Linked DNA regions of Sus scrofa. The protein of the gene in region 2 interacts with the protein of the main gene of each other region in a pairwise test. Links are inferred from orthologs where the notes say so. Each region holds a gene or a part of one and is shown on either strand. Other genes may lie near its edges.

What was found. The genes of interacting proteins can lie anywhere in the genome.
Region 1: the proteins of BOLL (region 2) and SERF2 interact in a two-hybrid assay, tested with the Homo sapiens proteins (2 studies listed by BioGRID and IntAct). The two-hybrid records come from large-scale screens. The link is inferred for Sus scrofa from reciprocal best matches to the Homo sapiens genes BOLL and SERF2.

What each region holds. Positions count from the first base shown.
Region 1 is NC_010443.5:127,765,039-127,769,557, forward strand, and holds SERF2 (small EDRK-rich factor 2), read right to left. Parts: upstream 2,481-4,519; 5' UTR 2,419-2,480; coding exon 2,412-2,418; intron 1,795-2,411; coding exon 1,686-1,794; intron 1,064-1,685; coding exon 1,000-1,063; 3' UTR 722-999; downstream 1-721. UniProt on the Homo sapiens protein: Positive regulator of amyloid protein aggregation and proteotoxicity. Induces conformational changes in amyloid proteins, such as HTT, driving them into compact formations preceding the formation of aggregates.
Region 2 is NC_010457.5:101,595,575-101,599,879, reverse strand, and holds part of BOLL (protein boule-like), read left to right. Parts: intron 1-2,480; coding exon 2,481-2,624; intron 2,625-4,305. UniProt on the Homo sapiens protein: Probable RNA-binding protein, which may be required during spermatogenesis. May act by binding to the 3'-UTR of mRNAs and regulating their translation.

The DNA.
Region 1 (4,519 bases), on a different chromosome or scaffold from region 2:
AGCAGCTCAGGAACCACTGCTGATCCCAGCAGACAGTGTGGCACCAGCTCTTTCCTGGCTCTCATGGTGGAGATGGGGGCAGGGAAAGACCAATGGGGACTGAAGACTTAGTTGGCTCTGCCCTTGAAGATAAAAAGGAAAATAAGTAGTTCAGCCCTGGGTACAGGGATGTAAGAAGCCCAGAACAAACCAGGACACAGGAAGAAAGGAGCAGAGACTACCCTGGGTTTTAATCCTGATGCTGAGGTCAAAGGAAATGGAAAGACAAAAACCACCCTCATTCCATGAGGAATGACAGAACAGAAGAGAATGTGAACACTTGAGAGCAGCTAGCCATGGGAAGTTAATGAGCAGCAGGATCTGGGCCAACTTTCAAGAAGGTGAGCAAACTGAGGAAGAATAAGGAAGAGGGGCATACATTTAGGTCTTGGAGCCTTCCTTCTTAGGACCTCAACCCCATCCTTAAGATGGTGTTTAAGGTCCGAGTGTGGGACTGATATCACAGAAAAGAAGTCCCTACGGTTCTGAGAGGATTTCTCTACCACGTACCCAACATATTTGTCTGTTTGTTGTAGCACAATAAAGGATTTTTGCTTTGACGTTTCACTTAATCTACATATCCACAACCTTTTGGAGTCTAAAGGTCTCCCCTTTTGGTGGGAAAGGGCAGGCAGCCATTCCTCCATCCCCAACCCCCCAAATCCCCAGTCAAACCAGGCGCTCAAGGAATTACAAAGCTACTTTTAATACTTTGGGGTGAGCCCCACAGGAATAAAAAACACTGGGAAGAGGTAACCTCCTCACCCCCAGGAGTGGCCCAGGGGGAGAGAGGCTACCTGAGGGGAAGGAAGCACAAAAGGGACCCGCTGCAGACTCAGGGCAAAGGGAATGCCATCGGTGCTGGGACCTGTGAGCACTACAGGAGAAAACGCGAGCGTGGTGGGACTGGCTCCAGGCACACAGGCGAAGGGCAAGAGGGTTGGACACGAAGCCACAAAGCTACTTGGGTTCCTCCTTCTTCTCGTTTGCCTTTTTCTGCTTCTGCTGCATGATCTCCGAGTCCCTGGGGGTAGAGATGATGGGGCACTGGGAGGTACCAGAGGGCAAAAAGGACAAGATGCAGGGGGATGAAGGGCACAAAGGATAAGATGGAAGTGGATGGGACAAAATTCAGCGTGTGGCTGCTATATTCCCACCCTAGGAGAACAAGAGGAAGAGAGCTGAGGCTCAAAAGGCAATCAGTCTCTATCTGGCTTTTGCCCAAGGGGTCAGAAGTCTGGCCACACAGGCCCAAGGCTATTCTGTGCCAAGTACCACACCCAGCAACACCAGTGAGAAAGGTTGGGAGAAGGGAGGACAAATGAACTGCAAGGAGGGCCAAAAGGACTGGGCTGTCATAACCACTACTGCATTTGAAATGTGAAGTTCCCTGCCCTTGCCCTTAAGGTCAGACCCGGGGGGCACTCACAAATCAGACCGAGAGTAAGCACCAGCCCCAGTCCGTTCCTATATGGCTGTGAGCTAACAATTTAGAAGGTGAGAGGAATAAAACCCTAGAGCAAACAATGCACTCTGCCCCTCACGACTAGTCCAGATGGTAAGCCCTGAGGTAGTTCTCTTTGCTGGTACAACCCTTGGTCTAACCCAGGTCTCACCCCACCCTCCCCTCCCCTCCCTGGGGCTACCTCTGCTTGCGGGCGGCAGCAGAAAGCCCGTCATCTCGGCGCTTTCCCTTAACCGAGTCGCTCTGCTTTTTCATATTCTTCTGGCGGGCGAGCTCGCGCTGGTTACCGCCTAAAGAAAAAAGGTAAAAGGTGAGACGCGAGAGCCTTTCTGGCCACACACCGACAACCCTGTTCCCTGACCCGGGACACCAGTAGGGTCCAATACTTCATTCCCCAGGCGTCGACACGGGACCGTTTTTCAGGGCCTAGACTGCAGATTGGGCGGGGAGGGGGGGTGCGGAAGCTGCCACGGGGCAGGTCAAACTGGGAAATCGAGGGACGACAGTCCCGAGAAGCCTGCTAGAGACAAGTTTCGAATTTCGTTGCAGCATGGGGGCCCAGACAGGTGGTGGTGGTGGTGGGTGTACGTGGTATGGATCTCTGTGGGGGATGGGCAGAGATCTGGAGTAGAGGAGCTCGGGGTCCACCACAGGGGCACAGGGCTTCTCCCCACACCACGGAAGGTCTGGGAAGGGTTTTGCCTGAAGGGGCGGTGGGGGTAAGGTTCTCAAAAAGTGGCGGTGGGCGAAGGGTCGATTTCCGGGCTGCTAGGGTGAGGGTCGCTATAGACCTCTCCCAGAGAAGGGTCTCGCTGGCGAAGCCAAAAGGAGGTCAGTGCCGAGATTTGGCAGTCTTGTGCAGGGTGAAGAGGAGAAAGGGGCAAGAGAAGGGGGATTCGGTGCTCACGGGTCATGGCGACGGCAGCGGCTCCGGCCTGCCTCCGTTGCGTCCCCTCGCTCAGAACGACGTTGGAAGCCCCGCCCCTTTCTCGCAGCGTAAAGAAGTCGTCTTTTCCTCCCCGCCCCTTCGCTCCCGGACTCCGACTCCCATTGGACAGGAGTAAACACGTGGGGCCACGGGCCACGCTTGAGCCCGGACGGCTGAGAGGCGGAGGTTCGTAGGCAGAGCGCACGGCGTGGGGCGGGGCTTCCCGAGCAAGTCGTTGGGTCGGGTGGGGAGAAAGTAGGCCGGGTCACGTGGGCAGGGTGGGGGTGGAGGGGTGCGGCTGGCGATGTGGCGCTCCCGCGGGCTTGAGCACGTGACCTGGCAGAGTGACCTCATGCGGGGAAGGTTTGGGAGACAAACTCGCCCATAGGAAACCTTGGAGGGACGGAGGGCGGGGCATCTCGGCGGCGGAAATGGTCCCCCAGGTTCTTTTCGCAAGACTCTGGGGCTAAACTCTGTGGTTAGGATTCCCCACCGCTACCGAGCCACTCATGAGGACACCTGAATTCACGTACGCTGTAAAATCACGTACAGACGCAACTTCAGAAACTCCCTTCCAACCCCATTGTTCCCCCATCCAAACTCCTCCAATATGGAAATAAGCAACCACATCCTGTAGGTCCTAAAATTTGATCCTACTCTTATCGCCACGGAAGCTTTAAATATGTTGCTTGCAAGTATTGAAGGACTCCAAAGTCACAGACTGAGAGATTGGGAAATGCACATGCTATGTCCATTTCTCCCTCTAGCTTTCTCTACTACTATCTCCACCAGCCATACCTGGCTTGTAATTGGTAGTTGAATAGGGCGGGAAGATTAGACTTCCCGCTGAATTCTCATTCCCAGCACTGCTAATCTGTCTACGACTCCCTACCTATCCTGGGGAATTCACTGGATAAAGGAGAAATGCTTAGGAAATCTCACAGGAAGGGATTGGTTGTGATTTTCTCTAGCTAATGCCCATAGCAGAACTGACTTGAGGCTAGAACTTCAAACTTGCTTCTGTCTCAACGTAGCGCTAATGGGCATGCAATAAACCACATTCAGGAAATTCTCATGATTTTTGCCATATCCAAGTAATCACTACTACTTCTTGTTAAAATTTTTCGGAAGCCCCCTAGTGGCACAGTAGTTCAAGGATCTGCCTTGGAGCTGCTGTGGCACAGGCAGGTTAGATCCCTGGCCAAGAAACTTCCACATGCCTGGGGCGTGGCCAAAAAAAAAAAAAATTATATCAGTTTTAAGTGAAGAATACAGCCCAAACTTAATATTCCTTTAGTAAATTTAAAATCAGTTACTGCTTGCCCACAAACATGAAGTAACTATAAAAATAAATACAATGCAAACTATTGCCTTTGAAATGGATAGGCAATGGGATCCTGCTGTATAGCACTGGGAACTATATCAAATCACTTATGATGGAGCATGGTAATGTGAGAAAAAGAAATGTATATGTATATGTGTGACTGGGTCACCTTGCTGTGCAGTAGAAAATTGACAGAACACTGTAAACCAGCTATAATGGAAAAAATAAAAATCACTAAAATAAATACATACATGCAATGTGGAGTTCCCATTGTGGCAACAGAAACAATCCAACTACTATCCATGAGGATGCAGGTTCATTTCCTGGCCTCGCTCAGTGGATTAAGGATCCAGCTTTGCTGTGAGCTGTGGTGTAGGTCACAGACGCAGCTCCCAGCTAAGATCCTTTGTTGCTGTGAGCTGTGGTGTAGGTCACAGACGCAGCTCCCAGCTAAGATCCTTTGTTGCTGTGGCTGTGGTGTAGGCTGGCAGCTGTAGCTCCAATATGACCCCTAACTGGGAACTTCCAAATTAAATAAATGAAAAAATAAATAGATAAATACAATGAAGATTTCCCTGGTGATGAAGGGAGTTAAGGATCCAGAGTTTTTATTGCTGTGGCTCAGGTCACTGCTGTGGTGCTAGTTCCATCCCGGCCCAGGAACTTCTCAATGCTGCAGGTGCAGCCAAAAAGAAAAGAAACAGAAAATGACATTTAAAAAAAAAAAAAACTGAATAGGAGTTCCTGTCATGGCTCAGTCATT
Region 2 (4,305 bases):
CATTCCTCTCATGGAAAAATAATAAAGACTGAGTTTTGCAAATGGGTAATTTCTACATTCTCTAAACAGGCAGAAAGAAGAGATTGTATTAATTAGAGCTGTTCTGTTATCTCTGGCAATACAAATCCATGGTAGAAAAGTAAAACTGAGCATCCCAGGATCTTCCAACCTGGGCACTATGTCTTAATTAAAATGGCTGAAGTTATGAATAACTTACACATGCCCAGAGAGGATGCTGTTAAGATGGGATTCCCAATTTCATTAACTGACATCTACAACATAGCAGTTATTAAATATGATAACTTTGTGGTTTAATAGATGTTTTTATGAACTTCTTTACTAGGAGAGTGTTTTTCACCCTTGTGGAGAGTAGCCCATAAGTCCATTCCATAGCCCCCATAGGCACCAATGATCTAGTCCTTTCTATGTACATATTGCAGAGATTAAGGATTATGGTTTTATTGGCCAATGACGTGAAAGGTGAGTAAACATGAAAAAGAACAACTTAGAAATTCACTTTCATGAATTTGCTTCCCAGAGAATTTAAACTGAATTTCAACCTTTTTGAAGCACTCATTTAGTGCATTAGAATGTCTCAGAAGTCTGTTTAGTGTTCCCAGAAGGAAAATAATTAGCAAGTTCTTCAATTGGTTTCTCTTCAATTTTCTATTCTCAAGTCTTGGTAGTTTGGGGTTTTTTTTGGCGGGGTAGAGGGTGTGTGTGTGTTTTCAGATGTACCTTAAGAGTCTACTATCATGCCCTTATGCAGAGGCTTATATGTTAGTATATTTTTACTAAAATCTAAATTAAGTCACCTGACATAGGATTGTGAGTTTACAAATATGCACTGATCTCAATTCTTGGGTATAAAAATTATATGAGTTATAGGTATATAATTTTTTTTTTACAAAATCACTTGTCAACTTTTCAAATTGACAAGTGCATTTACAATTTTGACTTTAGAGTTGAAAAACAATGAACTTAAATGTCAGTCTATTCACTTGTCAGTGTCCTTTAGCCAAAGACCACCGTGAACACACCTGTAGTTTAATAAATTTGGATCTTTGGAGTTCCTGTCGTGGCTCAGTGGTTAACAAATCCGACAAGGAACCATGGGGTTGTGGGTTTGGTCCCTGCCCTTGCTCAGTGGATTAGGATCCGGTGTTGCCGTGAGCTGTGGTGTAGGCCGCAGACGTGGCTCGGATCCCACGTTGCTGTGGCCCTGGCATAGGCCAGCGGCTACAGCTCCAATTCAACCCCTAGCCTGGGAATCTCCATATGCCACGGGAGTGGCCCTAGAAGATGCAAAAAAATAAAAAAATTAAAAATAAATAAAATAAATTTGCGTCTTTGAATTGTTGCAACAAGGAAAAACGTATACCATGGGGCCTTGCAAGAAGAGGGTGTTAGAAGGAAGTTGTTATAGGATTTAGGCTATGTAAGCACTTTTTTAGAGAGGGTTTAAGGAAGAAGGCTTTCCTCTGAAATACATCTTGTCAGGAAGTGGGAGCAGTTCTACGATTTGGTATGTCAGTTTTTACATAGAAGGCAAGAAGAATAGATTGAAGCCAAAGCTGTGACTGATAAAGGAGCAGTCAGTCTTATTATCAGCCAGGATAGGAAGATGTTTGGTCATTCTTGTTTTTTTGGACAATGCTTTTGTTTTTGTCAATGTACACATGTGATTATGGAAAGGTATGGTTTTTATCTTGATTCATCATAATTACAGAGTAGTCTTTTCCAATGTTGGTGTTCTGTTAACAAGAGAACACCACAGCTTAGCTGTGAGTTCCAGGCCAACTCCTAAAAGTCAGTACTAGGGCCTAGTTGATTGTGCCAGGCCAGCTCTTAAGATATCCAGGGGCTGCTTTTCTCCTTATCAAACTTCTTTTTGAATTTAATACTCCTCCTTAATACTTTTTTTTTTTTTGTCTTTTTGCCATTTCTTGGGCTGCTCCCACGGCATATGAAGGTTCCCAGACTAGGGGTCGAATTGGAGCTGTAGCCACTGGCCTCCGCAAGAGCCACAGAAACACGGGAATCCGAGCTGCATCTGAGACCTACACCACAGCTCACGGCAACGCCAGATCGTTAACCCACTGAGCAAGGGCGGGGACCGAACCCACAACTTCATGGTTCCTAGTCGGATTCGTTAACCACTGCACCACAACGGGAACTCCTCCTCCTTAATACTTATAATATTTACGTAGTATATTTAATAATTAACATATATTATTATGTTTAAATAATATACTTAAGGTTTAAGATCTTTTCTGTAGAGGAGTACATTCTATATTTCCTGTATTTTTGTTGACCCCAAAAGTTATTAGCTCTAACTATAATTTTCATAATACTAGAATAAAAGTAAAGTTTAATATACTACATTTTATCAATGACTTACGTTTTTGAAGGTATATGCTTCCAGCCTGCATCAAAACTTAGAACCAATTCTAAGAGTTTAAAGGAATTTTGTCTTACAGCAAACATCAAATCATACGCAAACAGATTCCTTGTCTCCATCCCCCAACCCTGTGTCACCTGTGCCTTTGAATAATCCAACGAGTGCCCCAAGATATGGAACAGTGATCCCTAATCGCATCTTTGTAGGAGGAATTGACTTTAAGGTACCTATTTATGCATGCGACATAGTGCATTTTTTGTATTAGAAGTTATTTTATTTCTCAGAAGTTGTTTCTTTGTGCAACTATAAAAACATTTTCTATTCACATAATGATTAGTAGGTTTCAAATTGTCTTAATATATAAAAAATCTTTTAAAAAACCGTGTTAAACAGAAGTGGCTGCTGTGACACAATGGGATCGGTGACTTCTCTATAGCACCAGGACACAGGTTCATCCCCAGCCAGACACAGTGGGTTAACCTGGTGTTGCTGCCACTGTCACATAGGTCACAACTGCAGCTCAGATCTGATCCCTGGCATGGGAACCTCTGTATGCTGCAGGTACGGCCAAAACAGGAAGAAAAAAAAAAAAAAAAAAAAAAAAAAAAAACTCTTGTAGGTTAAATAGAGTATATATAATTTTTCAGCTTCCCAAACAAGGAAATTGAGGCTCAATGACATATCTATAGGCTCTTAGCTAATTAGTGACAAAGTGAAGACTAGAATCCTAGTTTTCTGACTCATAGCTGCACATTCTTTATTTCACCATACCACACTAGTTATACATTTTTATATAGTACTTCAGTAGCCCAAATAATGAGTGATTGTAATTTTCAAAAGAACACTCATCGAAGGAAAGAAAAGCCAAAACACACACAAAAAAAAAACTTTTATGAAATCCTGTTTCTTTATCCCAGCTTTTATCTCAGGTTCTTGAATAACTTCCTAGACTTATGTCACAAATTGCTTTCTATCACCTAATTTAGAATTCAATCATCAAAAAAGGCCAGTGTCCTAGTCAGAATAAAGCATCTTAACAGTAATATGCTTAAATAATATAATTAGCTATTTCACTCTTAGAGAGGTATAATTTTGTGAGATGTTTTGCAGCACCCTCATTTGGGAGGTGGTAATAAACACTTACAGGAAAGTCAAGCATGGATGTTTTAAGTGAATATATAGAAGAATTTCTAAGCTTCCATATCACATATTAGAAAATTCAGGGAGCATTGACTTAATAAAAAAAATCTTTGATATTTTTAACTTGCTATTTTCCTCTGATCAATCTCTCACAGTTTGGATGGAATTACTTTTTTCTGCTCAAGAGAAATGTTATAGTTAGTATACTTGTCAAAATTATGAGTCTTAAGCAAGTATGTAATTGGTTCACTAAAGGTAAAATAATTTCTTATGAAATGTTTATTTTTTTGTCTTTTTTTTTTTTTTTTAGGGCTGCACCCACAGCAGGTGGAAGTTCCCAGGCTAGGGGTCAAATCAGAGCTGCAGCCACAAGCCCACACCACAGCCACAGCAGCACCAGAACTGAGCTGCGTCTGCGACCTATGCTTCAGCTTGTGGCAACACCAGATCCTTAACCCACTGAGCAAGGCCAGGGATCAAACCCTCATCCTCATGGATACTAGTCATGTTCTTAACCCACTGAGCCACAACAGGAACTACATGAAATGTTTATTTTTATAAAGATTTTCTATTTCTATGGAAAATAATAATAGGTGACTATAAATATTCAAGTTGAATATTCTTATTCAGAATTGATTTATATTAAACTAGCTTATTATATTTTTAAATAAATCATCAACAAATGTAGTGATTTGTTTGGCTAGGTTATTGTAGGTTACTGAAGCCCATCAGCTACAGTATAAACTTTGGAGGGCATTGTAACT